3 linked regions of the Drosophila melanogaster genome follow. The protein of the gene in region 3 binds, or shares a complex with, the protein of the main gene of each other region. Each region holds a gene or a part of one and is shown on either strand. Other genes may lie near its edges.

Region 1 (5,516 bases), on a different chromosome or scaffold from region 3:
TCCAAGCTTTGAGTGGGAGCACCCCATCTCAAAGTTACAAATGCGCGAAGCGCAATGCAACAAAACTAAAATTGGATTCTAAGAAAACATTAAATGCATATAGGCATTGCCAAAATTCCATTGCGCTGAGGGCATGATGGATTTTTGGACAGCGCTGGCTGGCGGTGGTGTCCTTGTGGACGGACGTGCTTGTCCACCCACCCGCGAGGACATACAATTAGATATTTAGTTAAAGACAACCGCAACATATGTTGCTCTCTGTTTTTAATCCCTACAGAACTCTCAATTTTATAATTTTTTCTCCCCTTTCTGCTACTGAATGTGCGGCTCGACCTCTCAACTCCAAGGTGGTTGTAATATTACCTTTTAAGAGCACCTTCATCAAGTAGCCCTAAGATTGAAACACTCGCATAACTGTTAAACTGTTATTAACACTAATCAACAATAGCGATTAAAACCCAATACGAATCTTTCAAAAACCTTTAATGATTGAAGAAATTCAATAAAGTGGACACTTTTTTCAAAAGCCCAGAATGTTTATAAACTTACTTGCATCAACAGACAACAGTTTTATTTTCCAATATTTCAAAAAAAGTTAAGTAACAAACATTTGTGCTATTTAAAGTTGCAGAAGATCGATTAAACCTGTCTGTTAATTTACTTCACAAACGTTGAGCTTATTTTACAAGTTTACATCTTCGAGCTACATTTATATAAAAATCTGTTTAGTGTCTAGTGCAAGGTACTTATTGGGCTTAAGTCTTCTCTATTTACAAGGCTCTCAAATGGGGGGCAAAAGCTGGGCAAACCCAGCCTCCTCCGCGTCTCATGAGTACGCGCAAAGGTGTCCGCACTTGGGGCACTTGGAGTGTTTGGCAAAGTACTTCTGCAGGTGCTCTATGTGACCGCCGTGGGAGCATCCTTGGCACCAGGCGTAGACTCCCCGGACGATCAGACCGCAGACGCAGCACTTGGCGGACTGCATGGACTTGCACTTGTCGCAGTACCATCCCACCTTGCCGCCCATTGGACGTCCACACTCTCCACAGTTCGTGTGCATGGCGGTCGAGTGCTGGTTGAGCTGCTGCACCGATCTCAGCCAGGAGCGGTTGATAACCTCGCAGGCCTCGTTCCACAGCTCATAGCGATGCAGCTGGTCCACGTAGGTGTAAAACCAGTGCTCCTGAAAAGGAAGAAAACCGGATGAATAACTCCGTTCTGATCCCAACTTTGTCTTTGAACTCACCACCAATGCATCGTCAATGGGCAGGAGCTTCCGAGCTTCTCCCAGCGCTATAAGGACTGTCAGAGCTGTTTGCACATCGCCCACATCGTTCATTAGCATGAGGGCATCGGAGACGAACTTATGCGGTTCCCACATGGGTATGGGCGGGACATGGCTGACTTTTAGGACAGTGGGAACATGCGGTGGCTAAAAAGAGGATGAATAAGTTAGTTAAGCTGTAAATACATCGAGTTCTCAATAATCTCAACTAACAGGTGACTTTTCGTGATCGGACGCCTTGAGATCCAGTTGTGGTCGTGCAGCCTGCACATCGTGATGAAGGGCGGGGAAGGCCAAAGCTTTCGGGCATTCTGTGGGACCCACGTAGATAAACCCATTGCGCAAGAGCTCAAAGTTGTCAAAGGTAATCTCGCTGATGATTTGCGTTTCGGACAGAATCACTGAGCTCGTAGGCGGATGCTCCACACCACTGCTGCCGAGCGTATCATCGTCCACATTCGCCACATCAATTTCGTGGGCTGTTTCCGGCGTGTTTCCATTGAGATCCTGGCCTAGTTCAGTTCGCTGCTGTGGCCAATCGCTGGCTACTTGCGTGGCACGTCGTGAGTTCATTGGATTCTTTTGATTCGAGAAGGAGGAGCGGTGCTCGAAGGGAGGCTCAAAGTGATTGCTGCCGTAGAACAATTTGATAAAGTTCCACAATGTGGTGGCCTGAAAAATGTAGATGCTAAGTTTTGGCAAATTTTGGGAATAATCTCAAGCGCTTACATTATGTTTGCCGTATTTCTTGGAAACCTCTGCATTGTGCTCGCATAACTCCGATAGTTTTTTCCCACTGATAACAAGTTCCCTGGCACAGCCAATAAAACTTTCGTGTTCTTGGGTGGGTCTTGAAACAGATTCGCTTAGGGGATAGCCGGAAAACTGAAATATATCAATTAGTATCAGATTTGGCAAAGAAATCCCTAATAGTGTCATACTAACCGTGTCGTTTACCATGAATTTGTACATTTTGGAATGGTCCAAATGGAACTGAATGCTGCCAGCCACATTCGTCTTACGGCGACTTCTAAAATACACATACATATAAACATACAAGTTGATACAACAAATACGACATACATGAAGCTAGAAGACTTGGTATTGGATGCACCGCTGGTCTTGGGTTCATACTCCTTGATCTTGTTGGCAAAGGAGATGTCCCCAAATCTGCCCAGGCTAGCTCCCTGGGCATTTGCCTTCAGCGCTGGCCTCGTGGCATCCTTAAAAGCATGTTTGTAAATGGTGGAGTCCTTGCTGATGGACAGAAGACAGTGCGAGTCGCTGCCCTGCCACGCAATTCCAGTAGTCACATTGGTGTGCTCGTTGAAGGAGGCAAAGGGGATGTAGGGTCTGCGGATGTCCCACACATGAACGCTGTAGTCCACCACAAGGGCACAACTAGCGATGTGATAACTGGAAAGGATTAAACAGATTTAATATAAATAAGACTGTTAAACCTGGCTAGAAAAACCTACGTTCTTTCTGGTCGCCACTTAACCCGTCCCACTACGGCGATTGTGTGAATGGTGTGCTCCAATCCCGGCCTGCCATCCATGTTCCACACCTTGATCTGCTTGTCCCGACTTCCGGTGGCCAGCCAATTCCTTGTGGGATGCCAGTCGCATGTGTAGACTGGCCCGTAGTGCGCCGTAAACTGCACCATGCACTTGTCCCACTTCCGCATGTCCCACAACTGGACAGTTCCATTCTCGGAGACGGCGGAGAATATGTTTTGTGTGTGTGGACTGAACTTGACATCCCGCACTGATTCCGAGTTGCAGAAGTAGGTGTTGATTGACTTATCCGATCGGATGTCGAAACACTTGATGGTGCCATCCTGAGAACCGGAGATCAGGATGTTGGGCTCGCTGCTGTGAAAGGTCACGGTATGAGCGGTGCGCTCATGTTCGTTGTAGACAAGCAGCTGCTTCTGCCTGCCGAACTTGGAGAGATCCCACACGGAAACCACTCCGTTCGTGGCCGCCGTAGCCAAAAGATTGCTATCCAAGGTGGACCAGGCCACATCGTTGGCGGAGTAGCTAAGATTCTGGTTCTTTCCGCGCATATTACACGATTCCGTGAAGCCATTGCTGTTTATGGAGTACACCTTAAGCACTGTTCGGAAGCAAATTATGTGTATTTATAGAAAGACCTTGGGCAATTCTAATCTTACAGCTTCTTCCGGCCAAAGCAATCTGGTTGTTGTCCTTATTCAGGGCCAGGGCGTTCGCGTGTCCTTCCAGGCATATCCGCAGCGAGATTGTGGAGGTGTCCTCCACGGAATCGGGCATCCTGCAGCAGTTGCAAGTTCGCCCGCAGAAAGCAAAACAGTGATTTGATAAGACAAGACGCTATCTTTTATTTTCCTTTCGGTTCAGTATGACCGTTTCTCGAGCGGCAAACCATTGGCGCGAGTGTTCCCAAATGCAGATGTTGAATATTGTTTGAACAAAAGACTTATTGTACTAAAGTTGTATTATTCACATATAATTAATGTATTCTATACATATACAGACAGAAACATTAATTTCAATTAAGCTATTAAATTCTTTGAAACTTCTTGGAACACTCCAATAAGATCTGCCAGTTGGAGCGCGTCGTTGCCGGACCATCCACACCGACGGAGTGGCAACGCCATTCGTGCGGCCTTGCTGTTTACAAAAATCACGGTCGACTTTTTCGACAATTTCATTTACCAGCGCAACAAGTGGCCGCAAGAAAGCAGGAGAGTGGAGCCGGGTGATCCTGATCCCTTCCAGAAATGCCGGACATCAAGATAACGCCCTTGGGCGCCGGCCAGGATGTGGGCCGCAGCTGTCTGCTGCTCTCGATGGGCGGGAAGAACATAATGCTCGACTGCGGGATGCATATGGGCTACAACGACGAGCGCCGCTTCCCGGACTTCTCCTACATAGTGCCGGAGGGTCCGATCACCAGCCACATTGACTGTGTGATCATCTCGCACTTCCACCTGGGTGAGTCTCGGCCTCCCAAAGGCGCTCTTATCTGGTCAACTGGCTCTAATCGTTTCTTTATCGATTGCATGCATTCCAGATCACTGCGGGGCCTTGCCCTACATGTCAGAGATTGTGGGCTACACGGGGCCCATCTACATGACGCATCCGACCAAGGCCATAGCACCCATCCTCCTGGAGGACATGCGGAAGGTGGCCGTAGAGCGGAAAGGCGAGTCGAACTTCTTTACCACCCAGATGATCAAGGACTGCATGAAGAAGGTGATTCCCGTCACACTTCACCAGAGTATGATGGTGGACACGGACCTTGAGATCAAAGCCTACTATGCAGGCCATGTCCTGGGCGCCGCCATGTTCTGGATCAAGGTGGGCTCCCAGAGCGTTGTCTACACGGGGGACTACAACATGACTCCAGACAGGCATCTGGGAGCCGCCTGGATAGACAAGTGCCGGCCGGACTTGCTGATCTCCGAGAGCACCTACGCCACTACCATTAGGGACTCGAAGCGGTGTCGCGAGAGGGACTTCCTCAAGAAAGTTCACGAGTGCGTGGCTAAGGGCGGCAAGGTTTTAATCCCTGTTTTTGCCCTGGGTCGCGCCCAGGAGCTGTGCATCCTGCTGGAGACGTACTGGGAGCGCATGAACCTCAAGTACCCCATATACTTTGCTCTGGGTCTTACCGAGAAGGCCAATACCTACTACAAAATGTTCATCACCTGGACGAACCAGAAGATCCGCAAGACCTTCGTTCACCGCAACATGTTCGACTTCAAGCACATCAAGCCCTTTGACAAGGCCTACATCGACAATCCTGGCGCGATGGTAGTGTTCGCCACGCCAGGCATGCTGCACGCAGGTCTTTCCCTGCAGATCTTCAAGAAGTGGGCGCCGAATGAGAACAACATGGTGATTATGCCCGGCTACTGTGTGCAGGGAACCGTGGGCAACAAGATTCTCGGTGGCGCCAAGAAGGTGGAGTTCGAGAACCGCCAGGTGGTCGAGGTCAAAATGGCCGTGGAGTACATGAGCTTCTCGGCCCATGCAGATGCCAAAGGTGGCTACAAGCTTAGCACTTTTATGCTGATACTAATTAATTTTCTGTATTGCAGGCATTATGCAGCTAATTCAGAACTGTGAGCCAAAGAACGTCATGCTCGTCCATGGTGAAGCAGGGAAGATGAAGTTCCTGCGCTCGAAGATCAAAGACGAATTCAACCTGGAAACCTACATGCCGGCCAACGGCGAAACCTGTG
Region 2 (5,135 bases), on a different chromosome or scaffold from region 3:
CCACGTTTTGTGATGTAACGCGAAAATGCCCTAGGAAAAGCGATCTGAGGAACACTGAACTGGGGAAATGTGGACCAGAAAGCTATTCATTGGATTCGCAAGAATGCCGGCTTCTAATCCGAGATGTAAGTGGTGGTATCAAAACACACAGGCCTTCCGAATATTCGTTTAGACCCATTTCGTATGGGAAGTATCCACGAATTACGCAAATGATGCGATTCCAACTTTATAGCAAAACGTACAATCCGACAATAACCGAGTAGATTTATTGATTCATGATTCGGGACTACTAAGATTCGTTGTGTCTTCTGGTGCGCGACGAACACTACGTGGACTATTCCGCACAGTGATATAAGTTTGGTTCATGGTGGCACCAAGATAAAGTTTAATCAAAAATATTTTTCTAGAAAATTATCGTTCCACGGAATCTTTAAAACGATTGAATAATGCGTAAACCCATTGATAGTTCACTTCATTAATAACATTAACATTAATACCGTGAACTCTAAACATAACTAAAGAAAACCACTCATATTGAAAGGCAAGCGGCTGAGGTTTAACTTAGGAATTTATTCGGAACTCTTACAATTAAGAACAAGATCAGTGCCACGGCACCTGGTTGCCGATGGTGCCCTTTTTGTAGAACTTGGCCGTGGCCGAGGCGGTAGTGGCCAGTGTCGGAGTGGGCGGAGCAGGCTCGTAGGTGGGTCCGCTGCCCTCTGCCTTCAAGACGGCGGCACAGCGCCACTGCCGGTTGTAGTTCATTCGCCACAGACGCACACAACCGTCGTCGCCCGTGGAGATCAGCATCGTGGCCAGCATATTCCAACAGACGCGCCACACTGGGCAATTGTGCTCGCTAAACTTAATGGTCTGGATGTCCAACTTGGAGATGTCCGTGGCGTCCCTTTAATTATAAAAATTATTATTATTAAATGATTTTGGGTCTTTAAATTGTCGATCTTACGTTACACCCCGCAAGTTCACAATATAAAGATCCTTGCTGGCCACTGCCAGCATGTGAAAGGTGCGTCCGGCATTTGGAGCAAAGGCCACATCCGTGACCGGATCGGTTATATCATTGACAGTATCGATTTTAACGCACTTTCGGGAATTCTCGCTGTAGGCGAATAAGAAGACCTTGCCAGTAGGCGTGGCTGCCTCGTCGCTGCCCGCCTGCAAAATAATTTATGAAAATTAGGCTTATTCTTACTCCACAGATAATAGAATTAATCCTTAATAGACTAAGACTTGGAATTTAAATATACTCACCGCCAGCAGCTGGGTGACCATGTAAGTGGAAGTGTTCCAGGACAAACAGCTCAGCGGCAATTTGTTGCTAATCTCGTGCTGCACGGGCCACTGCGAGAGGTTCATAATGTCCGGGGCCTCATAGATGCGAATAATGCCGTCGGCGGAGGCGGTGGCCAGCAGGAGTCCCAGGTACTTGGGTGCAAACTCCACATCCGTGACACTGGTCCGCGAGTCTACAAGGGTGGTGCGGCGCACCCAGCGGCGAGTGGGGGTATTGGTGGAGGATACCTTTTCGCCAATCACCTCCTCCCAAACGGAGGCGGTGCGATCAAATGAGCATGTGGCCACAACCTGGCCAAATTCCGGGTGCGCCCAGGAAACGCGCCAAATGGAGCCGGAGTGCGCTTTCCAGCTGCTCGTGACATTCCACTTGCCCTGCCCATCCTCGTCCCAAATCTGCAAGCAGAAAATCCGGATCACCTAGGCTGTTTATCGTAGGAATAATTCGAGTCCTCACCTTGACGGTCTGATCGCTGGAACAGGTTGCCATCCTGCGGCCGTAGTAGTCGAAGACCACGTCGTGTATCACATCCTTGTGGTCGGCAATAATGGGTTCCACGTCGAACATGATAAAAACTCAACTTATTTACCGAAATGTTGTTTATAAAATGCACGCGCCGAAAAATCTGCGCCGGTAATGCAGCCCTACAAGGAGAGACAGGGTTGGCTTGCAAACAGCCGCCGAACAGCTGTTGTTTACCTTGCTCAGTATTTTTTCAGTACGCCCAGGCGAACGGTCACACCGAGTTAGTGGTCCGAATTACGCGTGAAATACGAATAAAAAATCGAGCGAAAAATAACAAAACACAGTACTCTAGTCGATCACAAGCTGATAACGTATCAGCCGTGCCACACGCCCATCCGGGATTCGCGAGAACCACACTAGTCGGAGAGTCAGGACTCCAATAGCCGCCAAGAGGCCGTTTTGCACCCGGAAAAGAACAGTTACACACAACAAAATTGCCAACCGAAAGAAACGTGCGAAGCGCAGTGCGATGGAGAAGAGTAAGTGCGGTAATCTAAGCACTAAACGGGTAATTACGGCCCGATCCTATACGATACGATCCGAGCGAAATGTATGCGCATATGTGTATGCAAATGAGTGGGGTGAACAACCCCACAGCATAGTCGTATGTAGATCGGGACCCGCGTTTGTTTAGCATTTGAATTCGCTGGCTAAAGTGCGGATTTCAATCAAAGTGCAATGGGCAGCATAAATTCCAATTGCTTCCATCTGCAATATGCTCAATATGTCTTGCCTTGCTCGCCCTCTCTCGCTCGCGCACTCGCTGCTGACCTTGATTCCTATTGGATTTTACACATCGCGCGATGCCCGTGACGTATGTGTGTGTGTGTGTATGGGCGAGAGAGCAGCATAGCTGCCAACGTGTGTGTATGTCGGCCGGCATCAATTACCTAATAAGAACTAAATTGGAGACTGCATTTCTTGTTGGTATTGTATTGCATAAATACGATATAAGTATATTTATGAAATATGAGCATATCACAAGGACTCGAATCGGAAATTCAATCCAACGCAGTCACTACAAATTCGTAGTATTTTGCTAAGAAATTAAAAAACAATTTAACTGTAAACCGTGCACTTTACAGTGTCTACAAGATTTCAAGTGTGTTATCACGCACAAATCGGTTGTTTGTTGCTCTGTAGAAATCCTAGAGATAAGCACATCGAAATCAGGCGTTTCACACGCGACCGACTTTCGGTTCTATTATTATTTGGCTGTGATATCAGTAGACGGTTTTTTTCTGGCCACGCGCCAAACATGAATAATTCGAACAGAATCGAACACCGAAATACAAAAATTTCCGTGCGATAAGATGCCGGGAAAGATTTGGAATTGAGCCCGAGCCGAAACCATGAAGACCCGTCACCGTTAAGTATTAATCATAATCGGTCGCCAAGGCCAATGCCGAAATCGGAAGATTTTTCAGGCACTCGCCGCCTATCTGAGATTAAAGCGGGCGTCGCGTCGGGAATTTCTTTTATGACTTTTAAAAAACCTCTGCTGATGCCGGGAGCAGCGAGCATCACGGAATGAAAACAAATCAGCGGCGTTCGCGTGTTCTGCTCGTGGCAGCGCACTGAATTCGTTAATAATAATTCGATTCAAGTGCATCGCGCTAATCAATTTCTGGCGTTTTCGCCCATTTAACCCTAATCAGCATCGCTTGCCACTTACGCCAGCAAATTGAGAAATTATGGTCGTTGTTGTTGCTGCTTGCTGCTCCCAGCAGCAGAGTGCATTTCCGTCAGCGGTTGGGTCAACTCCCAGATTAAGTCCAGCTGGAGCAGCAACAACAACAACAGCAGTACCGAATGCCATCGGCGACCTTGACATTGAAAAGCTACCGCCGCCCATGAGACAGAGATACATGGAAGAGAAAAGAGCGGGACGCACTGCTAGTGACAGAGAGGGGTAGACGGTTGTTGGCAACAGCTGATCGCCATCATCATGTCGCTCTTATCTTTTATCAGCCGCAGACCGTTAAGGTATAATTGCTGTGCAACAGTGGAACTTTCCTATAGTGGAACTCACTGATGTTAAGCTGATTGCGATTGCCGCTGGAAGGGCATGCTTTTATGGTTAGTTTTTATGAGTTTTTAGTTTGGAAACTACGCAAAAAATCCAATATAAAACAAAATGTCATTGTAGTTATTCCAGAACTTGTTGAATCGGTATATACAGAAACCTTATTCATCACTGACGACAATAAAGAAATGATTTTGTTAAATATTTCTCTGGTGCCACTGTACCCAGCATTTATTTATTCGGACATTGTTATGGCATAATTGGTTCACAAAAAGATCACTGAAACCGACGGAGCACACTGGTCGTCATTACTTGAGCCACCTTCATAAAAATTGTTATTAATCCGGCAGGTTGCCCCGCTTAATTCGACCGCCTTTCTGTTCGAATTAGTGGCGCTCCTTGTACATATGTAGTTCTTATGTAGTACATAGTGCACATATATTCCTCCTGGTCACTTGGCGCTGGCTGAGCCAGCAATAAGCAAAACAATAACACAACAACAACAACAACAATTGGCTTGGCGACCCGCGAGACCCGCTGGCGATTAACATACGAGCGCAACAACCTGAACACGCACAAACACAGGTCCGCGCACGAAAACCTGGCCGTAGACGTAGTCAAAGCTATAGCTATAGTTGATATTGATAGTGGCGACGCCGAAGTCGGCGTCCGCTGCGCGTTCGGAGAAGCGGCGTTCAGGCATCGATAGTGCTTTTCGGACGAGCATGGCCCAGTTGAGTTCCAATCGTCGGTCACTGCAGTAGCCATCTAGAAATCGTGCGGAACCAGTCAGTCTAGGAAGTTCAAACCGATCCTACACGGTCTACTACAATCCGATCCGATCCGGTCCGACCTCGTCTTCGAAACTGCCATCACAAGCTAAACAAGGGCACACGCAGAGTGGTAAAGCGAGCTGAAACCGTAGATCTAAATCCTAAGACGAACTAAACCCAAAACACAACCGTATCATATCCAGCCAAGGTCCCGAAAAGTGCTGCCCTAGAGATAATCGCACGTCGAGTAAGATTCTTTTGTTTTCGACTGTTGAGTAATGCCAGCAGAGTTCTTATCACAGGATCGGTGGTAAATAAAGCACAATTAAAAGACTCCATCCATTGCGAGGGTGCGCACTAACGGAGCTACTTGAGTACGGGACCGGGCCACACCTGTTGAGTCGTTTCCAGCGCAGAGTGTAACCCAAGTCCCAGTTCTCTGCGCGATTTCCGAGTAAGCGGTTACATAACACCCCGCTGGTTGCCAGAGATCGAT
Region 3 (4,640 bases):
CGAGACCGGCATCTGTGGTTCTATGTTATCCCCTATATTCAGGCAATACTCTATATCGTCCAGCTCCTTCATCATCAGACGCAGCTGTTCAAAGTACTGATGGCTCTTTCGGCATTGCCGTCTTAGCCGATAGGCATTTCTTACGGCCTCCGCACACTCCACGCAGATGAACTGCGGCATTCCGTCCTCCTTATGCACGCTGCATCCGCTGCATTCCCTCAGCATTGTGGCCAAGACCGGCTCCTGCTCCTGGACCCGATTGGAGGAGGCATATGGCTCTGTATATATATCCAACAGGCAGTCGGATTCGTCCCTGCAAACGCGGCACATTTGCGAAATGTCCATCGTGGCCGAGCTCCAGAGTTTCGTAGGCAGGATCAAAAATATACAATATCAACAAAATGCAACTATTAAAATACCAATCACTGGAATATACCAACAAAAAAATACCGAATAATCAGCTGTGCTTCGCATCTTATTAATTTATCAGCTTTGATTTATGATTTAAAGTTGTTTTTTTAAGTTAAAAATGGGTTTTTCGTATTTTTTAAATATTTTATTTTAATCTGGCTCTTAGAGCATCAGAATATTCCCCACTTATCGATATACCTTAAAGCTGTACAATGGGCGCGAAGCTTAAAATGTAACGCTGTTTTGAATATGAGTAATTTTTTGAATTTGTATGAAATCACGGAAAAACATAGTTTGACAATAATTGAATTGAACTTAAGAACTTGCTTGTACAAATAAATAACAAAATATGTAGTCTACAAGCGTAAATTGATTTGCTTCGCAAACTTTACAAAATTAGATGCATACCTATTTTATAGATTATATTCAAAAACTAAACAAAAACATTCAACATTAAAATCTAGGAATGCAAATTCGTCCCAAACTCTACTTGGTATTGTACATGGATGCAATTGCAGGATCTTCGGTTTCGTAAATGATAAGCACATCCCTGAATTTATCAAGCAATTGCAGCAGTTGCGAACGTCGCAGGTTCTCGAAGTACATGATCTCCTCCAGATGATGCTCGCTCTTAAAGTAACCCATCTGATACAGCTTCACAAGCAGAGATAGATCATCCACGTTGGCAGAGGCGGGAATTCGACGGATGGCGGCTCGATCCGCATCGCTGAAAACCTGTAGCAGCTCCTTCAGCTTCTGCTCATCCTCCATGGAATCGAGGCTGTCGCAATTGTCCGTGCTCATCGAGGCGGTGATGCTGAAATTGGACTTGTGGCTGGATGATGGCTGCACGGCGATGTTGTCCGAGGCCAGTGATGAATGGTCCTCGGACGCCTCACGACGATGTCCGCCCACCAATACCGCTGGCACTGGCAACGGATGACTGGACATGCTAAGCATGGAGCCATGCAACTCGTCCGCATCTGGTTCTTGGTCTCCTTCTTCATCGCTAATGGCATCCCTTAGATGGTTGCTGCAGGAGGCCGAATCTCCGAATTCATCCTCGCTGGGCATAAACTGAACGTACGTGTGCAACTGCATGAGCAAATGGTGCTGCAGCATCCAAATCACCATTTGTGCGAGGATACCCTGTCGCGCTGGCTGCTGCAGTGGCGTGGTTAAGTGTCCAATTGAAGTGGGCAATGAAAAATCGGAGATCACCTCGAACAGCGACATACCGGCAAAACGGGCCGAGAACTTCTCCACCAGGTGGGACTTGGTGTGCAATGGTGCATCCGGCGCGATCACATAGACATTTGTCTCGCAGAGTGGATAAATAATAGTTGCCTTAGCCCAGTAGACCAAATGCGAGACGAGCTTATAAACATGCTCGATACTCAAGTCTGCATTGGAGGACATGCTCTGCAGACTGATCAGTGGGTCGTAGACGTCGACTAGCTGCCATAGCATGCGTGCCCCAGTCGGTGGAACGCAGTCCAACAATTCGGCAAAGTCGACCAGCAGCAACATGCCATGATAGGGCTTCAGTGCACGAAGGCACCGATCTATGGTCTCTGGATCCACCATGCTGCCCTTCTTATGGAGCTGGTGTGCCTTAGCGGGCAGACAGAAGCACAACGTTAGGTTGTGATTCAGCGAGGTACTCAGCAGTCCAGTGGTGCATAGATCATGGAAGATGGAGCGCAAGGCCTGTGCCAAGCTGCAGCGCTCTGCAATCAGCTCCAGTGTGCGTTCCAGCGGCTGTTGCTGCTGCTCGTCGTGTGTGCGAGCCATTTGAGCCGTCTGCTCGGTGAGATAGCCACTGCGCTGCTCCTCGAACTTCAGCGCCAGTCCAAGGCGCTTGCTCAGTTCGTGGTAGCACTTAACAATCGAGTAGCTGGCCTGTGCATGCAGCGCAAAAACAATGTTGATGAGCATCTGTTGCTTGGCCATTGGACCACTTCTCTGCTCCTTTTGCGGTATCAGAGTGGGATGACTGACAAAGCGTACGTCGTTCAGTTTGAGTTCAAACTTTTGGTTGCATAGCTGTGGTTTAACAGCAAACAGAGCGGACAGGACCTCATCTGCGAATCCCTGCAGTTGTCCTTGGCTCTTGGCAGCACCCAAGTGGGTGGGTGTCTGCAGCAGATCGTCCGTATTGGCCACGGCATAGGGATTGCGCTTTCTGTGATTGAATAAATCGGTATAGTCAAGCTGAGTGCCCTTTGAATTAATAGGTAGTACCTGGACTTCCGCTGCTCGTCGTTGGCCACCTCCGTTTGGCCGAGAGTCTGGTACGGATACCTGTACAGTAACCGATCCCCCTTGCTATCGAAGTAAACCAGGATTACGGCCAGGGGATTCACATTAGTTTCCATGGCACACAGACACTTCCCCTTTTATGTAAATTAAAATATGAACATTTGCATTATCAACTGGGGTCAGGGTCAACAAATAGTTGGCTATGTTTTCAAAAATACTTTATAAATCGTAGTTTGCTACAGAAACTACCTCAACAACTCTTTATTTATTTATTAGTACCTCAATTTGACTTCATTGAGAAATGGAAGCAAAGTAAATAAATGTAAAATATAAAATATATTTACAGCAGTGTGGCTCTCTTTTAGTTTGCATAAAATACCAAAAACTTATTTAAAATAGTAGTCATGTCAGTTTTCATTTTGCAGGCGAAACAATAATATAAATGCAACGCAATGGAATTTTTTTAAATCGTTTAAATTTACCATAGATACCTTAGATAATATATTCAAAAACTAAAAAATACTAAACGAAAAACGGTCTTACTATATAAATAAATATATATCGGCAAGGCTAATAGTATAGGATCCCTGGTCGAGCGATAACGATCTATCGCTCCGCTGTAGTGTGACCGTCTTCGGTTGGTCAGTCTCTAATTTTTTAGAAGCGGAAAGTTGTGAGCAAAACGTGTGGAAATTGTGCTCGAAACGTCAACAAAAAATTTGTGAAAATAACTGGGAGCGTAGTATGCGAACGCGGCAATCGCAGAACTATGAAATTCCCCTGTGAAACATGTTAGTTTGGCTGTAAAAGCACTTTTAAAAATGACGATTTCTTATTAGCGTGTTGGAAAAGAGGAAAACACACACATTGTGAGAGGCAAAATACGTGCGGATCGTAGGTGGGAGCGAGACGACGCTAAACGTGTACTAGCCGCGGTCTATATATACATATATATAATATTTGTGTGAGTGTAGGAGAGGTATAACTAATTCTACAAAAAAATATAGTTTACTTGGCTGAGTGGTTCGCTTCTGAATTAGTTTCGCACTCTTCGGCAGTATGGTGGCCAATAAGTTAATTTCAACTAATTGTCATTTACTTGTAGGTTTGTTTTTCTACTATGTCTTCGTTTCTGTATCTATTCCTTGTATTTTGGAAAATAGGATTAATAAGTGCCTAAAATGTAAATAGCTTGTGGTTAAATAGTTAATAACATAACTATTTTACTTTTTGTGTATATGTGCGCCAACATCCGTGTGTATAGATTTTACACATACCTACGTAGAAAGGCATGCACAGATATACGTTTGTGTGGGTATCAACGAATAGGCGGAAAGGCGAAATCGAAATATGTACGTACAGCATTTCGGAATGGCCAGGCGCAGTAGTAATAGGCTAAACAGGGAAACAGCGCAACACAAAAACCAAGAAGAAGAAGCAGGGCAGGCGAACAAAATAAAATAGGCGATAATAGTCAGTTGGCATGTCTTGTCCATAGGCTAGAACGGTCACACTAGCTATATGGTCTGCTCAAACCGACTGGTCGTCTCGCTCTTACACACGTCTTAAGCAATCCCAGTTTATGTGTTTTCCTGCGCGTTTTGTCTTCTGCTTCTTGTGCCATACGGTATTAATAATAATAAAATTGATTAATCAAAGTAGAAACATTTTAATTTGTGCAGGTAGTAAACGTTCGAAACAACGTCGCGCCATCACTTAAATGCTGCAAATCAACAATGTGCAACGGAACAAAAAAGAACCAGTGTTAAAGTGTATACAAATTTAATTTGTATTTATAAAATTGAAATATAAAGTTTCGAAATAAAAAATAAACCACGTAGCTTGTCGTTAAATTAAATTAAGTTGTGCAAAATGAAGTGAAAATTCAAAATAACAGAGTAAACGGTGAGTAAAACTAGTGTGTGTGTTTGTATGTGAGTGCGCGCCCAAATCGGAAATATTTTGAA

Evidence for each region.
Region 1: Nprl3 (region 3) and Wdr24 share a complex: the UniProt entries of both Drosophila melanogaster proteins name them as parts of the GATOR complex.
Region 2: Nprl3 (region 3) and Nup44A share a complex: the UniProt entries of both Drosophila melanogaster proteins name them as parts of the GATOR complex.

Annotation. Positions count from the first base shown.
Region 1 is NT_033777.3:29,741,421-29,746,936, forward strand, and holds Wdr24 (WD repeat domain 24), read right to left. Parts: upstream 3,673-5,516; 5' UTR 3,580-3,672; coding exon 3,462-3,579; intron 3,404-3,461; coding exon 2,764-3,403; intron 2,702-2,763; coding exon 2,369-2,701; intron 2,316-2,368; coding exon 2,231-2,315; intron 2,171-2,230; coding exon 2,015-2,170; intron 1,958-2,014; coding exon 1,499-1,957; intron 1,433-1,498; coding exon 1,247-1,432; intron 1,184-1,246; coding exon 827-1,183; 3' UTR 552-826; downstream 1-551. Other genes in the region: Gnpnat (Glucosamine-phosphate N-acetyltransferase), read left to right, coding at 278-319; IntS11 (integrator 11), read left to right, coding at 4,050-4,263, 4,343-5,317, 5,373-5,516. UniProt on the Drosophila melanogaster protein: An essential component of the GATOR subcomplex GATOR2 which functions as an activator of the amino acid-sensing branch of the mTORC1 signaling pathway.
Region 2 is NT_033778.4:7,986,700-7,991,834, reverse strand, and holds Nup44A (nucleoporin at 44A), read right to left. Parts: upstream 3,374-5,135; 5' UTR 3,326-3,373; intron 3,304-3,325; exon of another isoform or gene 3,208-3,303; intron 2,320-3,207; exon of another isoform or gene 2,121-2,319; intron 2,004-2,120; 5' UTR 1,883-2,003; coding exon 1,772-1,882; intron 1,711-1,771; coding exon 1,273-1,710; intron 1,177-1,272; coding exon 968-1,176; intron 908-967; coding exon 601-907; 3' UTR 552-600; downstream 1-551. UniProt on the Drosophila melanogaster protein: Probable component of the nuclear pore complex (NPC). Involved in maintaining the localization of another nucleoporin Mgtor to the nuclear envelope of early meiotic female germline cells.
Region 3 is NT_037436.4:13,998,838-14,003,477, forward strand, and holds Nprl3 (nitrogen permease regulator-like 3), read right to left. Parts: upstream 3,044-4,640; 5' UTR 2,953-3,043; exon of another isoform or gene 2,808-2,952; 5' UTR 2,790-2,807; coding exon 2,656-2,789; intron 2,597-2,655; coding exon 898-2,596; 3' UTR 543-897; downstream 1-542. Other genes in the region: CG17359 (uncharacterized protein), read right to left, coding at 1-345. UniProt on the Drosophila melanogaster protein: An essential component of the GATOR subcomplex GATOR1 which functions as an inhibitor of the amino acid-sensing branch of the TORC1 signaling pathway.